Elephas maximus indicus: one gene and its partner. The protein of the gene in region 1 interacts with the protein of each later gene in a biochemical or structural test. Links are inferred from orthologs where the notes say so. Each region holds a gene or a part of one and is shown in the gene's direction. Other genes may lie near its edges.

Region 1 (7,563 bases):
TCTACTTTACCAAGCATGACGTCCTTCTCCAGGGACTGATCCCTTCTGATAACATGTTCCAGTACAAGAGACAAAGTCTTGCCATCCTTGTGTCTAAGGAAGATCCTGGATATACTTCTTTCAAGAAAGATTTGTTCGTTGTTCTGGCAGTCTATGGTATATTCAATATTCTTTGCCAACACCCTAATTCGAATGCATCAATTCTTCTTTGGTCCTCTTATTCATTGTTCAGCTTGGGTCAGGTGCACCTTAGTCTTCAAGGTGACGTTTTACTTTTTACACTTTGAGGAGGTCATTTGCAGCAGATTTGCCTAATGTGATAAGTTGATTTCTTGACTACTGTGAGACTGTCCATGACAGCCAAAGTACTACTTTGAGTATATCCCACCTGAATTTAGAGACCATCTCACTAACAAATTTGATGAAGACTAATGACCAAAGGTCAGCTGAGTTGTGGCATGACATCAAGGACATCATAAATGAAGAAAGCAAACCAAACAAAAAACCAAACCCATTGCCGTCAAGTCGGTTCTGATTCGCAGTGACCCTAACGTCATTAAAAAGACGGGAAAGAAAGAAAAGACCAAAATGGATGTCAGAAGAGACTCTAAAACTTGCTCTTGAATGTAGAGTAGCTAAAGTGAATGGAAGAAATGATGAAGTAAAAGAGCTGAACAGGAGATTTCAAATGGCAGCTAGAGAAAAGTATTATAATGAAATGTGCAAAGACCTGGAGATAGAAAACCAAAACAGAAGAACATGCTCAACATTTCTCAGGCTGAAAGAACTGAAGAAAAATTTCAAGCCTCACATTGTAATACTGAAGGATTGAGCTATAGGAATTCCAAAATAGGGGTAAACAGTCAGGGGTGCTGTTATTAGAGAAGATTCATTCTTGAATTTAAAAACAAATTATTCATTTATTTATTTTGGTGAAAATATACACAACATACTGTACTTCTACAATTTTTACATGTAATTCAGTGACATCGATTATATTCTTCAAATTCTGCCACCTTTCTCAACAACCTTTTCCAAACCATTTCACCATCATTAACACAAACTCACTGCCCCCTAAGCTTCTCATCTATCTTTTCTAGTTGCTGTTGTCATTATTCATTTTAAAATCAGAAAGCAAAGCCATTTTTAAAAAGTAAATATTTTTCTTATAAGCTGGTATTTTAGTCAGGATGTCTTAAGCTTAAGCATATTTTATGTGGATGTCAGATTAAAAATTACGAAATACGGCTTTCTATGGAAGTGTGGTTTGTAAGGAAGCTGGAGGAATCTCTTCATTTACAGACTTTGAAATAAAAGCATAGATCAATTTTTCCATAGTTAGCTTTTGGAACTTTGTTTTCAAAATTTAAAAACAGTGAAATAAAGCAAACTGAAAGGTATAATATTTTGTTCCATAAATGCCGATTTTAGTTTATCTATATTTTACCAAAAGGAAATATGTTTAAAACTGAAATTTAGTCTTTTAAAATTGTAATAACTTTAAAACTAAAGAAGAAATCAACAAAAGGTTACATCAGTGCTATGATTTAGTAGTTGTCAAAACTTACCTCTTGCAGAAGTTCTGGTTTCATTAAAATTCACTTGGTTTTTTTTTTTTTTTTTAACTGGCATGATTTTACATACAATGTTCAATTTTTTTGATGTATTTACTTTCGGACCAGTGGTTAAGAGCTATGGCTGCTAACCAAAAGATCGGCAGTTTGAATCCACCAGCTGCTCCTTGGAAACCACATGGGGCAGTTCTAGTCTGTCCCACAGGGTCGCTATGAGTCAGAATCAACTAGGTGGCAATGGGTTTATTATTATTTATTGTGTGTTATCATTATTACTTAAAATAATTCACTGTATAATTTCTAGTATGATGATCCACTTTAGATATCTAAGATAAGCCACTATATGAAAAGCTTGTCAATTGACCTATTATTTATCATGAAAGTAGTCTGTGCCTTTCCTGTCTTGTTTTGCCTATCATAAAAGACATTAATTCATTTGAATAAAGATTTAGCTACTACTTACATGCTTTCTTCTAGTCACGGGGGCACTGTACTAAATGAGACAAAGTCCCTGTCTCTGTGAAGCTTGCATTCTGAAGAATATAAATGGGAAATGACTTTTAAAAATAAATTTTTTAGTTCTAGCACAGTGCCAGTGCCAGGTAGATGCTAGTGCTTCATTGCTTCTGTTTTTAGTTACATCATGTCCTCCACTAAAAAATAAAGGCTGTTCCTTAACTATACATCTATATATGTATATACATATACCAAGCCCAGCAGATCTCCTATTTGTAAAAACTGTAATTTGCTTTGAGAAAACTATTATGTTCAAATGGATCAAAATATAATACTTGGAACTATTTGCCTCATAAGAAAAAATTCTTCCCCCAAGTATGGCCATGGCTAATGGCACTTTATAAAGCACTTAAGAAATACTGTAACTGAGTCTCAAAACAACTGTGTGACAGAGGTAGGGAGATAGCACAATTTTTGGATTAAGAGCATGGACTGTGGATTCATGATTTAATCTCAGTTCTGTGACCTTTAAAAAATTACTTAACCTCTCTGACTCTCAGTTTCCTCATATATAAAATGTTAATACTCAAAGCTACCTCGTACGTGTGCTGTATTAAAATAAAATACAATATTTGAAGTATTTAGTACAGTACACTCGATAAATGGTGGCTATTTTTTATTCTCATTAGGGATAATATCTTAACCTGACTTTACAGGAAAACAAACAGTTCATAAAAGCTGAGACTTAAGGATTCATAGTTATGAAATGGAGGGGTGACATTCAAACTCCGATCCTCTGATTCCACATCCTTCTTCGTTTTATTACAGTGCCTCTTAAGACAAATATTAAGAAAATTAGATCACTGTTAGAATATTAATAACATTAATAAACTCATTTCATACTTAAGTTTATAAGGTTTTTAACCTATCTACCATCATTAATTTTCTTAAATTTTGAAATGTTAGCACATGCTACATTACAGCATGTTTATTAAAAAAACAAAACTATATTCCGGGTTTTTTCCCTTTAAAACAAGCAAACTGATCCACTGATTCCTACTCAGAGCGACCCTACAGGACAGAGTAGACAGAGCTGCCCCATTGGGCTGCCAAGGAACTGCTGGTAGATTCAACCGCCGACTTTCTGGTTACCAAGCTCTTAACCACTGCGCCACCAGGACTCGTTTTTCCCCTTGATTGGGAGTATTTACTTAGAAACCACTACTGATCACATAAAGGAGACATTTAAATACAAAAACTTTCAGCATCCTAAAAAAGTTGAAAGCGCGGCAAGGTACGGGAATTCAAAATGCTGTAATTTTTAAGAAACGTGGGCTGGTCCTGACGAGATCTGTAAGAGAGAAGTTTCAACCAGTCAAAAGAATGGTTTCAGAGCAAACGTAGCCCGGTAAAAGTGCAGCACTGACAGATTTCTGCATGAAACACTGACCTCCCACGTGTCTTTCAGAAAACACACAGAACACAAGAGATAAAGGAGAGGCCCGGAAGGAAGTAAAAACAGCGGATAGGGCTTCCCAGGGAGACGGAGGGTGCGCGGAGTCTGGGGCGGGATGAAGGGAACTTGGAGAGCATCTGGCGGGCACCGAGGTCTAAAAGGCCTGGAAGCGGCGTGGGGGAGGTGTTCTGTCGTGGGAGCGTTTCCCCGCGAGCCCCACTATGTGGAGTCCAGGTGGATTTACTCCCCTGGTTTGGGTAGAAGTGAGGAGGACAGAGCGCGGGAGAGAAAAGCGGAGAGACGAGGAGAAGTTAGACTAGTGACAGGGGGACGCGGACCAGAATCCAAGGTTCGCGGGCCTTCTGGCGGGCCGCACCCGCAAGGCCTCCGAGCTACCGTAGCCCCGCCTCCTCCAGCGAGTGGCGCCCATGACGCTAGGCGCGCGGGCCGCTCTTCTTACAGAGGTCGCTCTTGTCCGAACGGTCGGCCTCTGCTGCGCCTGCGTAGTTGGGAGGGGAAGTGAGGCGGTTTCCTCGGCGCCTTTTCCGGCGGTGGCGGCGGCAGAGCTGGGAGGAGGAGGTAGAGGCCGGAGCGAGCCCGCGCTCGGGGCGGCGGCTGGAGGTAACCCCCCGGGTTGAGCTGGAAAGGCGGGCCTCTCGGACTCCGCTCCCTTTCGGAGCCCGGGCAGTAACTTCGCTCTTCCTCTCTGTGTTTCTGCAGGCAGCGAACCGAGTTCCCGCGAGGATCAATGACCTGACGAGGCGCCGGAGCCGCACTGCCTCTCGGGTGGCCTGGGTCGGTGGGGAACTCGGTGCTTACGGACCTCGGGCGGCCGGAGAGCCTCAGTCTCCCGTGGCTGGGTGAGGAGAAGGCGGAGGAGCGGGAACCGCGGCGGCGCTGGTGCGGCGCCTGCGGGGGGAAGGGCAGTTCCGGGCCGGGCCGCGCCTCAGCAGGGCGGCGGCTCTCCCGGCGCAGACTCAGGGCCCCGGCAGCGGCGGCGACAGGAGGAGTCAGGGTGTTCGGTTGGGGATGCCCGAGTGAGCAGCGGGCCTGGGCCTCTGCCCTTAGGCGGCAACTCCCAGCGAAGGCCGCACGGGCGCCCTCGCGGCGGGGAGGCTTCGTTTCGTTTTCGCGGCGGCGGCGGCGGCGTTGTTGGCTGAGGGGACCCGGGACACCTGAATGCCCCCGGCCCCGGCTCTTCCGACGCGATGGGGAAGGTGCTATCCAAAATCTTCGGGAACAAGGAAATGCGGATCCTCATGCTCGGGCTGGACGCGGCTGGCAAGACCACGATCCTGTACAAGTTGAAGCTGGGCCAGTCGGTGACCACCATCCCCACCGTGGGTTTCAACGTGGAGACGGTGACTTACAAAAACGTCAAGTTCAACGTATGGGATGTGGGCGGCCAGGACAAGATCCGGCCGCTCTGGCGGCATTACTACACCGGGACCCAAGGTCTGATCTTCGTAGTAGACTGCGCCGACCGCGACCGCATCGATGAGGCCCGCCAGGAGCTCCACCGCATTATCAATGATCGGGAGATGAGGGACGCCATAATCCTCATCTTCGCCAACAAGCAGGACCTGCCCGATGCCATGAAACCCCATGAGATCCAGGAGAAACTGGGCCTGACCCGGATTCGGGACAGGAACTGGTATGTGCAGCCCTCCTGTGCCACCTCAGGGGATGGACTCTATGAGGGGCTCACATGGTTAACCTCTAACTACAAATCCTAATGAGTGTTCTCCACCCATTCCCCCGGAAGGAGAGATATCAAAAACCCATTCATAGGATTATCGCCACCATCACCTCTTTCAGTTGCCACTTTCTCTTCTTTTGAATTTGAACTCTGGAGTTACTGTTCTATGGTTGGGGGTGGCGTAAGGGTTTTCTTTTTGTTTTTTTTCCTTTTGCTTTGCCTTAGGATGCTCTGATCTGTCATTTGACATGAACACAAAAAGTGCTAGATGCTCTTGTTGACTTCCAGTAAATGGGGTGGGGGAAATATAGCAATTCTTGGTAAAGCCCTTTATAATAATGGTTTGATTTTTTTATTTCGAGAGAATCTTTTTTTCCAATGTATGCTTTTTTTCTTTTTGTTCAGTTTCCTTATCACTTGCTGTAGATGGCTTATTTTGCATTCATGCAGACTCTGTTGCAAGTCTGTTTCATCTAGTAAACTGAAAATTATTGCTTAATCAAACTGCCGTTTGTCTTTTATATTTAAGGCCTTTTTCCCTCCCTTATGAGTTCTGATTTTAACTTGGTAATTTCGAATGTGACCTTTTATATCTAAGACCAGTATAGTAAATCTAGCCCACAGTGGCAAATAATGAGTAATATCGTTGTAATATGTTCCAGTTGCACATCAGTATGTTAAACAGGTAATGTAAGAAGTTCTTTGAAACGTCAGCTATAAAGTTCTGAAACATACATCATGCATGAGTAGGGATAAAACCCAAGTTCCCCATAACAGCTAACTATGCTGCATTAGACTTTGAAAGTGTAACCTGTCACGGACACAGATCTTTTCACTGCAAAGCTAGCAACTTTGCTGTGTTTTCCCTTTTTTAACTTTGGACTTTCCAGAAATTGGAGCAATAATGGTGTATGCCACACACAGATGAAGTATTTGTAGATACTTTAAGTGACTTTTTGGCAGATCTGGAAAATATACTTTTTTCTTGTTTTGAACAGCTAAGACTAGTAGATTTAAAATACTTTGTTTGTTAATAAAGCATTTAACAATTCAAATTATATGCACATTTTACTTAAAAAAAAACACATTTCCTGTTTTCACATTACAGCAACTGATTAAGCTGAACATATAAATCATTTTTTTACACAAGAGTGATCAACATCTTCATGAATTAGAACACTGGAAAACATGTTTTATAAAAAGATAATTTTGTTAAATTGTAAAATTAACTCATGCAAGTAGTAAGTCACATATCTTGTTGGTTCAGTAATATACCATCTCCTTTAAGGAAGGAAATGATGTGTAGACTTAAGGAATGACAAAGGGAAAGTAGGATGAAGAGAAAGAACCTACAGATGACAATGAATGTAAACTTACTTTTGAAGGGTAAGCAGTGTGCTCACTGGTGATATTCAGATCCTAACAAGATTACTTGCTTAACTGGTTAGGACCAGTAACTAGGTTGTTGAGACCACTATGATAATAGTTTGAACCAGATGTTAATAATGCATGATAGAGAATTGTGAAGCAGCATTTGGTTCTTATATAGCCTTAAGGATTAATTTTAGAGATCCTCGAGGAATTAAACTTAGGGAACTTCAGAAATGAAGACTGAAAAGGCAGTATACAGGAAAAGGTTTTGTTAATGAGGGTATCTGCAGACTAAAATTGAGTGGGTTATCATGGTATAGTTGGACGGTATTGGTCCTTCACGCTTTGGCCATATTGTATAATGGAGCTTTTACCAAAGATGTATGAGAAACATAAAGTTACAAAAGATGAACTATTCACAGTAAAACTCTTGACAAACGTTTTCCTTAAAGCAGATGGGAAGAGGTGCTATATTATAGCCTCCTAATGGTGCAAAGGGATTTTTGAATTTAATGTGCAACTAAGGTATAAAGTGTTCAGTTTCACTTTAGTGGAAGTATGTAGAAATTAGGCTGACAGATGCATCTAAGAATATTTTGGTTGCCTTTAAAATTCCCAAAGCTCCATCATAAATTTAATTCTTAATGTTTTAAATGATTACATTTTAAGGTCTATGAACATGGACTATACAAATATCAATGCTGTAGGAACATCCTGAAACAAGACAAGCACAAAGGTATAAATGCCTAAACTGGAGGAAACTTGAAACCCTCATGTTAATTTTTAAATGTAGTATTTCTAACTTGTGACAGATTGGTAGGCAGCCATTTTTTGTGTGTGTGTCTTAAAATAAGTGGGGACAGTTAAAATTTTATACATCAAATGATGGGTTTTGAATGTTGCAGGTGAGATGTGGTTATTTTTGGTTTATTTGAAATGTCTGACTGAAGCGGGGGGAGGGAGAAGCAAATACTTGAAAATTGGAAAACCCTAGATCCTTTGGTAAG
Region 2 (7,986 bases), on another chromosome or scaffold:
CCCGCCTCGTAACCACAAAAGAATGTGTTCTTCTCAGTTTAAACAATTTCTCAAGATCTTCTAATAGTGGTCTTATATAATATTTGTCCTTTTGCCTCTGACTAATTTCACTCAGCATAATGCCTCCCAGGTTGCTCCATGTTATGAAATGTTTCACAGATTCATTGCTGTTCTTTATCGATGTGTAGTATTCCATTGTGAATAGATCATAATTTATCCATTCGTCTGTTGATGGGCACCTAGGTTGCTTCCATCTTTTTGCTATTGTAAACAGTGCTGCAATAAACATGGGTGTGCATATATCTGTTCGTGTAAAGGCTCTTATTTCTCTAGGATATATTCCGAGGAGTGGGATTTCTGGGTTGTGTGGTAGTTCTATTTCTAACTTTTTAAGGAAACGCCAGATTTCCAAAGTGGTTGTACCATTTTACATTCCCACCAGCAGCGTATAAGAGTTCTAGTCTCTTCACAGCCTCTTCAACATTTATTGTTTTGTGTTTTTTGGATTAATGCCAGCCTTGTTGGAGTGAGATGGAATCTCATCCTAGTTTTAATTTGCGTTTCTCTAATGGCTAATGATCGAGAGCATTTTCTCATGTATCTGTTCGCCGCCTGAATATCTTCTTTAGTGAAGTGTGTGTTCATATCCTTTGCCCAATTTTTAATTGGGTTGTTTGTCTTTCAATTTTATTTGGGTTGTTTATCTTTTTGTGGTTGAGTTTTATGAGCATAGGTGTTTGATTTTTAGGAGCTCCCAGTTATCTGGTTTCTCTTCGTCATTTTTAGTAATGTTTTGTATTCTGTTTATGCCTTATATTAGGGCTCCTAGCTTTGTCCCTATTTTTTTCTTCCATGATCTTTATCGTTTTAGTCTTTATGTTTAGGTCTTTGATCCACTTGGAGTTAGTTTTTGTGCATGGTGTGAGGTATGGGTCCTGTTTCATTTTTTTGCAAATGGATATCCAGTTATGCCAGCACCATTTGTTAAAAAGACTATCTTTTCCCTAATTAACTGACACTGGGCCTCTGTCAAATATCAGCTGTTCATATGTAGATGGATTTATATCTGGGCTCTCAATTCTGTTCCATTGGTCTATGTGCCTGTTGTTGTACCAGTACCAGGCTGTTTTGACTGCTGTGGCTGTATAATATGGTCTAAAATCAGGTAGAGTGAGGCCTCCCACTTTCTTCTTCTTTTTCAGTAATGCTTTACTTATCCAGGGCTTCTTTCCCTTCCATATGAAGTTGGTGATTTGTTTCTGCATCACATTAAAAAATGTCATTGGAATTTGAATCGGAAGTGCATTGTATATATAGATGGCTTCTGGTAGAATAGACATTTTTACTATGTTAACTCTTCCTATCCATGAGCAAGGTATGTTTTTCTGCTTATGTAGGTCCCTTTTAGTTTCTTGCAGTAGTACTTCGTAGTTTTCTTTGTATAGGTCTTTTACATCTTTGGTAAGATTTATTCCTAAGTATTTTATCTTCTTGGGGGCTACTGTGAATGGTATTGATTTGGTGATTTCCTCTTCGATGTTCTTTTTGTTGATATAGAGGAATCCAAGTGATTTTTGTATGTTTATCTTGTAACCTGAAACTCTGCCAAACTCTTCTATTAGTTTCAGTAGTTTTCTGGAGGATTCCTTAGGGTTTCCTGGGTATAAGATCATGTCATCTGCAAATAGAGATAATTTTACTTCTTCCTTGCCAGTCCGGATGCCCTTTATTTCTTTGTCTAGCCTAATTGCTCTGGCTAGGACCTCTAGCACAATGTTGAATAAGAGCGGTGATAAAGGGCATCCTTGTCTGGTTCCCGTTCTCAAGGAAAATGCTTTCAGGCTCTCTCCATTTAGAATGATGTTGGCTGTTGGCTTTGTATAAAAGAATGATGTTGGCTGTTGGCTTTGTATAAAAAAAAAATTTTTGTATAGATGCCCTTTATTATGCTGAGGAATTTTCCTTCAATTTCTATTTTGCTGAGAGTTTTTATCATGAATGGGTGTTGGACTTTGTCAAATGCCTTTTCTGCATCAATTGATAAGATGATGTGGTTTTTGTTGTTTGTTTTATTTATATGGTAGATTACATTAATAGTATTTCTAATATTGAACCAACCTTGCGAACTCTGCAGTGAAGCTGTCCGGGCCAGGGCTTTTTTTTGTTGGGAGTTTTTTGATTACCTTTTCAATCTCTTTTTTTTTTATGGATCTATTTAGTTGTTCCACTTCCGATTGTGTTAGTTTAGGTAGGTAGTGTTTTTCTAGGAATACATCGATTTCTTCTAGGTTTGCAAATTTGTTAGAGTACAGTTTTTCATAATAATCTGATATGATTCCTTTAATTTCAGTTGAGTCTGTTGTGATATGGCCCATTTCATCTCTTATCTGGGTTATTTGTTTCCTTTCCTGTATTTCTTTAGTCAGTCTGGCCAATGGTTTATCAATTTTGTTAACTTTTTTTGAAGAACCAGCTTTTGGCTTTGTTAATTCTTTCAATTGTTTTTCTGTTCTCTAAATCATTTAGTTCAGCTCTAATTTTTATTATTCGTTTTCTTCTGGTGCCTGATGGCTTCTTTTGTTGCTTGCTTTCTATTTGTTCAAGTTGTAGGGACAGTTCTCTGATTTTGGCTCTTTCTTCTTTTTGTATGTGTGCATTTATCAATATAAATTGACCTCTGAGCACTGCTTTTGCTGTGTCCCAGAGGTTTTGATAGGAAGTATTTTCACTCTCGTTGCATTCTACGAATTTCTTTAGTCCCTTCTTAGTGTCTTCTATAACCCAGTCTTTTTTGAGCAGGGTATTGTTCAGTTCCCAAGTATTTGATTTCTTTTCCCTGATTTTTCTGTTACTGATTTCCACTTTTATGGCCTTGTGGTCTGAGAAGATGCTTTGTAATATTTCGATGTTTTGCATTCTGCAACGGTTTGTTTTATGACCTAATATGTGATCTATTCTAGAGAGTGTTCCATGTGCACTAGAAAAAAAAAAGTATACTTTGCAGCTGTTGGGTGGAGCGTTCTGTATAAGTCTACAAGGTCAAGTTGGTTGATTGTAGCAATTAGGTCTTCCATGTCTCTATTGAGCTTCTTACTGGAAGTCCTATCCTTTTCCGAAAGTGGTATGTTGAAGTCTCCTACTATAATTGTGGCGTTGTCTATCTCACTTTTCAGTTCTGTTAAAGTTTGTTTTATGTATCTTGCAGCCCTGTCATTGGGTGTGTAGATATTTAATATGGTTATATCTTCCTGGTCAATTGTCCCTTTAATCATTATGTAGTGTCCTTCTTTATCCTTTGTGGTGGATTTAACTTTAAAGTCTATTTTGTCAGAAATTAATATTGCCACTCCTGCTCTTTTTTGATTGTTGTTTGCTTGATATATTTTTTTCCATCCTTTGAGTTTTAGTTCGTTTGTGTCTCTAAGTCTAAGGTATGTCTCTTGTAGGCAGCATATAGACGGATCGTGTTTCTTTATCCAGTCTGAGACTCTCTGTCTCTTTATTCGTTCATTTAGTCCATTTACATTCAGCGTAATTATAGATAAGTATGAGTTTAGTGCTGTCATTTTGATGCCTTTTTGTGTGTGTTGTTGACAATTTCATTTTTCCACTTTTTTGCGCTGAGATGTTTTTCTTTGTAAGTTGTGTATTCACCATTTTCATAGTAGTCGAATTTATGTTTGCTGAGTTGTTATGTTTTTCTTGGTTTTTATTTTGATTTATGGAATTGTTAGACCTCTTTGTGGTTACCTTAATATTTACCCCTATTTTTCTAAATAAAAACCTAACTTGTATCGTCCTATATCACCTTGTTTTCCTCTCCATATGGCAGCTCTATGCCTCCTGTATTTAGTCCCTCTTTTTGATTATTGTGATCTTTTACATAGTGACTTCAATGATTCCCTGTTTTGAGCATTTTTTTCTTTTTAAAATAAATCTTAATTTGTTGTTGTGATTTCCCTGTTTGAGTTGATATCAGGATGTTCTGTTTTGTGACCTTGTCTTGTGCTGGTATCTGATATTATTGATTTTCTGACCAAACAATTTCCTTTAGTAATTCTTGTGGCTTTGGTTTGGTTTTTGTAAATTCTCTAAAGCTTGCGTTTATTTGTAAATGTTTTAATTTCACCTTCATATTTGAGAGAGAGTTTTGCTGGATATATGATCCTTGGCTGGCAGTTTTTCTCCTTCAGTGCTCTATATATGTCATCCCATTGCCTTCTTGACTGCATGGTTTCTGCTGAGTAGTCTGAAGTTATTCTTATTGATTCTTCTTTGTAGGAGACTTTTCTTTTATCCCTGGCTGCTTTTAAAAGTTTCTCTTTATCTTTGGTTTTGGCAAGTTTGATGATAATATGTCTTGGTTATTTTCTTTTTGGATCAGTCTTATATGGGGTTCGATGAGCATCTTGGATAGATATCCTTTCGTCTTTCATGATGTCAGGGAAGTTTTCTGCCAACAGATCTTCAACTATCCTCTCTGTATTTTCTGTTACCCCTCCCTGTCCTGGAACTCCAATCACACGCAAGTTATTCTTCTTGATAGAGTCCCACATGATTCTGAGGGTTTCTTCATTTTTTTAAATCTTTTATCTGATTTTTCTTCAACTATATTGGTGTCAATTGCCTTATCCTCCAGCTCCCCCACTCTGCATTCCAATTGCTCGATTCTGCTCCTCCGACCTCCTACTGAGTTGTCTAATTCTGTAATTTTACTGTTAATCTTTTGGATTCCTGAATGCTGTCTCTCTATAGATTCTAGCAGCTTATTAGTTTTTCTACCGTGTTCTTGAATAATCTTTTTGATTTCTTCAACTGCTTTATCAGTGTGTTCCTTGGCTTTTTCTGTAGATTTCCTTATTTCATTTCTGAGGTCATCCCTGATGTCTTGAAGCATTCTTTATATTAGTTTTGTATATTCTACATCTGGCAATTCCAGGATTATATCTTCATTTGGGAAAGATTTTGATTCTTTAATTTGGGGAGTTGTAGAAGCAGTCATGGTCTTTTTCTTAATGTGGTTTGATATCAACTGCTGTCTCTGAGCTATCTCTAAGATATTGTAATGATTTATATTTGCTCACTGAGTCTTATCTTATTTTGTTTTCTTTCATTATATGCAGATGGGCTACTAGATTGCACTGTCTTGATTGTTGTAGCCTTTGAATTGCTTATGTTCTATTACCGGCTGGTTTGGGCTGTTACCAGATATGTAAGCCTAAGAGTCCATTCACTATTCTTGAATAGAATCAGCTTAGGTGTTTTGATTTTGGGTCACCAAGTGTGTGGTGTAGACTGTCACCTATTAACTTAGAGGAGTAGTGGTGATAGTTGTGTGCACCAGATTCTAGTAGCAACAGGGGGTCACACTCCAGGGGGGCTGGTTGCTGACAGCCTTCCCCCACATGCCAGTGCGGTAGGTGTGTCTCTATTCCTAAAGCACTTTGGTGGGTGGGCTCTGCAGCTGTACCTTAGGCACCCAATGCATGTACCTCTAAAGATTGGTAGGTGTCAGTATCCTCAGACCCCTTTGGCAGGTGGCTAGGTGGTTTGGGTGGAGCTTCAGCCCTCAGTTCCCTGTTGTGGATCAGTGAGGGCTCTGTTTAATAGGTAGAGATATCAGACCTGGAAAACTTGTCTTTCCAGTGATCCACTAAAACAATTACAGTCAGATCTCTATTAGAATTGCCTTTGCATTATAATAGCCACCTTGTTCCCTGTAGGGATGAAAGCCAAAGACTGTGGATCTCATATGCTTGGCTGGAACTGGTTCTGTATTTTTATTCCAGTTTAGGGAAGTTACGGAAGGATTTTTCATCCCTGGGTTTTTAATAGCTGCTTCTCTCAGGCCAGGAGAATGGGTTAGGAAAAGACAAAAAAAAAAAAAAAAAAAACAAACAAACAAACCACAGAGCACTTCACTCCCTGGCCCAGGAAATTCCAATGTTAATGAAGCCACCTGGGGCAGAGAGGGTAGGGATCAGATAGATAGGAGAGAGTAGCACCCAGCAATATAGACAAAGTTACTTATCTTGCTTGGCGATGACTGTTTTATCTGAGATTCCCTGAGGGACGGGGGGCGTGTAGCCTATGTGTGCTGGCAGGGTCGAGATTGCCCCCGAGGGTCAGACTGGCTTCCTGTGCTTGTGCTGTCTCAGAAGCTGTGGTCAGCTCCTCCGCTCCCAGTCCAAAGCCCAGCGCCTCCCGGTGACTTCTCCTCTTGTCAGCCACGTTGTTGCGCTGCTGGCATGCGCTGGCTGGGCTTCCCCCGAGGTCACTTCAGGGGGCTAGGGCTGCGTCCCGTGTTTGCACCACCTCAGGAAGCCATGCTTAGCTCCCCTGTGCCCGGTCCAAAGCCTGGCACCAAGGGTTTCTGACTGGGATGCTGGCTGTAGGCTCTGAAAACAGTCGCTGCTTCCCTGTGGTTGCTCGTTCTCTTGTTAGCTGCGTCAGTGTGCAGCCTGCTTGTGCTGGCTGAGTCTCTACTGAGGTTACCCCAAGGAGCTAGGGGTTAGGGCTGTGTCCCGTGCCTGCCCCGCCTCAGCAAGCTGCAGTCAGCCCCACCACTCGGCACCAGGGAACTGCGAGGGCTCAAGGCTGTGGAGTGGGACGCAGGTTCCAGAGGTGGTCGCTGCTTCAGGGCACAGCTTTTCACTCCCCTGTCACTCAGGTCAACTCTTTAGATCTGTGTTTGATGGTCAGGGTTCGTAGATTGTCATGTATGTGATCGATTCACTTGTTTTTCTGAGTCTTTGTTGCAGCAGGGATCCGAGGTAGCTTTTACCTAGTAAGCCACCTTGGCCCCGCCCTCCTGCTTAACCTTTTTGCAAAACCTTTAAAAGTGTTTTGCAGTATTTTCAGGTTTCTGCCTGCCGAGGATTGACAAGCCTCTGTCACCGTGTGTTCCAACCTACGGATGCCCTTCCAGGGGTTTTTAAGACATTTACATGATTGTATTGCAACACTTACGAGTAATTTACAGAAGAACAAATGCCCACGCCAAATAAACACAACGAAAGAGCTTTGACATCACTGGTAATCAGCAGCATAAATGTTAAGAGACTATCAAGTCGGCAAATGTTTTAAATGATAATACTCACTGGGGATGAAGTCGTGGCGAGGCTAGTGCTTTCAGACACAGCTGGAAAATGGAAACATTTGAGAAACTGATTTCATAGCATGTATGAGTCTTAAAATAGGTTATATCTTTTGACCTATAAGTCTGCTTCTGGAATTTAGCCTAAGGAACCAATCAGAGAAGAGCACAAAGGTACAGTGTACTGCAGCATTACATAGGATATAATGGAAACGACGTTACATGTGATTATATGTCATCACATAGGATATAATGGAAACAACAGGTACGTGTCCAGCGGTAGAGCTGGCTAAGTACAGTATAGATCATCAACCGTTACAAACACGCATCCCTCTGATTCCAGTCCGGCACTTTGGGATTCTTTCTAGCCTGCGCCCTTTTCGTGTTCCTACATCCCTTTTCCAGTAGTGACAAACCTGGTTCCTCCTGTCTTCTGACTTCGGGATTGTGCAGATACTTTCCTTCTGCTCTTCCAGTTCCACCCCCTTCTCCAGTCACTCTCTCGAGGTAGACTCAGCCTGTGTACAGTGATCGGCAGGCTCCCTGGCCCTCTGCTCCTGGTGGATGGAGGAGAGTGAGGACAAAGCCATTTCTCCTGGGCTCCTCCCTGCCAGGCAGCAGAGGGTCAGCTGGATCCTTCTACGAGGTGGGCCCCTCCGTTCAGCAGTGCTTGTGCCTTCAGCCCCTCCAGCCTAGGACTGGTACTTTATCATTCCTTGGTGGCGTCCCTAAGCGCAGCCCTCGCTTTTGTAGATAATCCCATTCTTCAACTCCTTCCGAATTCCCACTTTGTGACTGATATTAAATATCAGGCTTTAAAAACAAGCAAAAAAACCCTTTCCCTAGGGCATTTCATAAATATCTGTGTGTTCTTTTTCCGGTGTCATTTT

The links. The genes of interacting proteins can lie anywhere in the genome.
Region 2: the proteins of ARF6 (region 1) and CYTH1 form a complex in vitro, tested with the Homo sapiens proteins (2 studies listed by BioGRID and IntAct, with this or other methods). The link is inferred for Elephas maximus indicus from reciprocal best matches to the Homo sapiens genes ARF6 and CYTH1.

What each region holds. Positions count from the first base shown.
Region 1 is NC_064828.1:62,171,589-62,179,151, forward strand, and holds the start of ARF6 (ADP-ribosylation factor 6), read left to right. Parts: upstream 1-4,485; 5' UTR 4,486-4,694; coding exon 4,695-5,222; 3' UTR 5,223-7,563. UniProt on the Homo sapiens protein: GTP-binding protein involved in protein trafficking that regulates endocytic recycling and cytoskeleton remodeling. GTP-bound form plays an important role in the transport of multiple palmitoylated proteins form the Golgi to the plasma membrane.
Region 2 is NC_064837.1:68,622,831-68,630,816, reverse strand, and holds the start of CYTH1 (cytohesin-1), read left to right. Parts: upstream 1-4,952; 5' UTR 4,953-7,986. UniProt on the Homo sapiens protein: Promotes guanine-nucleotide exchange on ARF1, ARF5 and ARF6. Promotes the activation of ARF factors through replacement of GDP with GTP.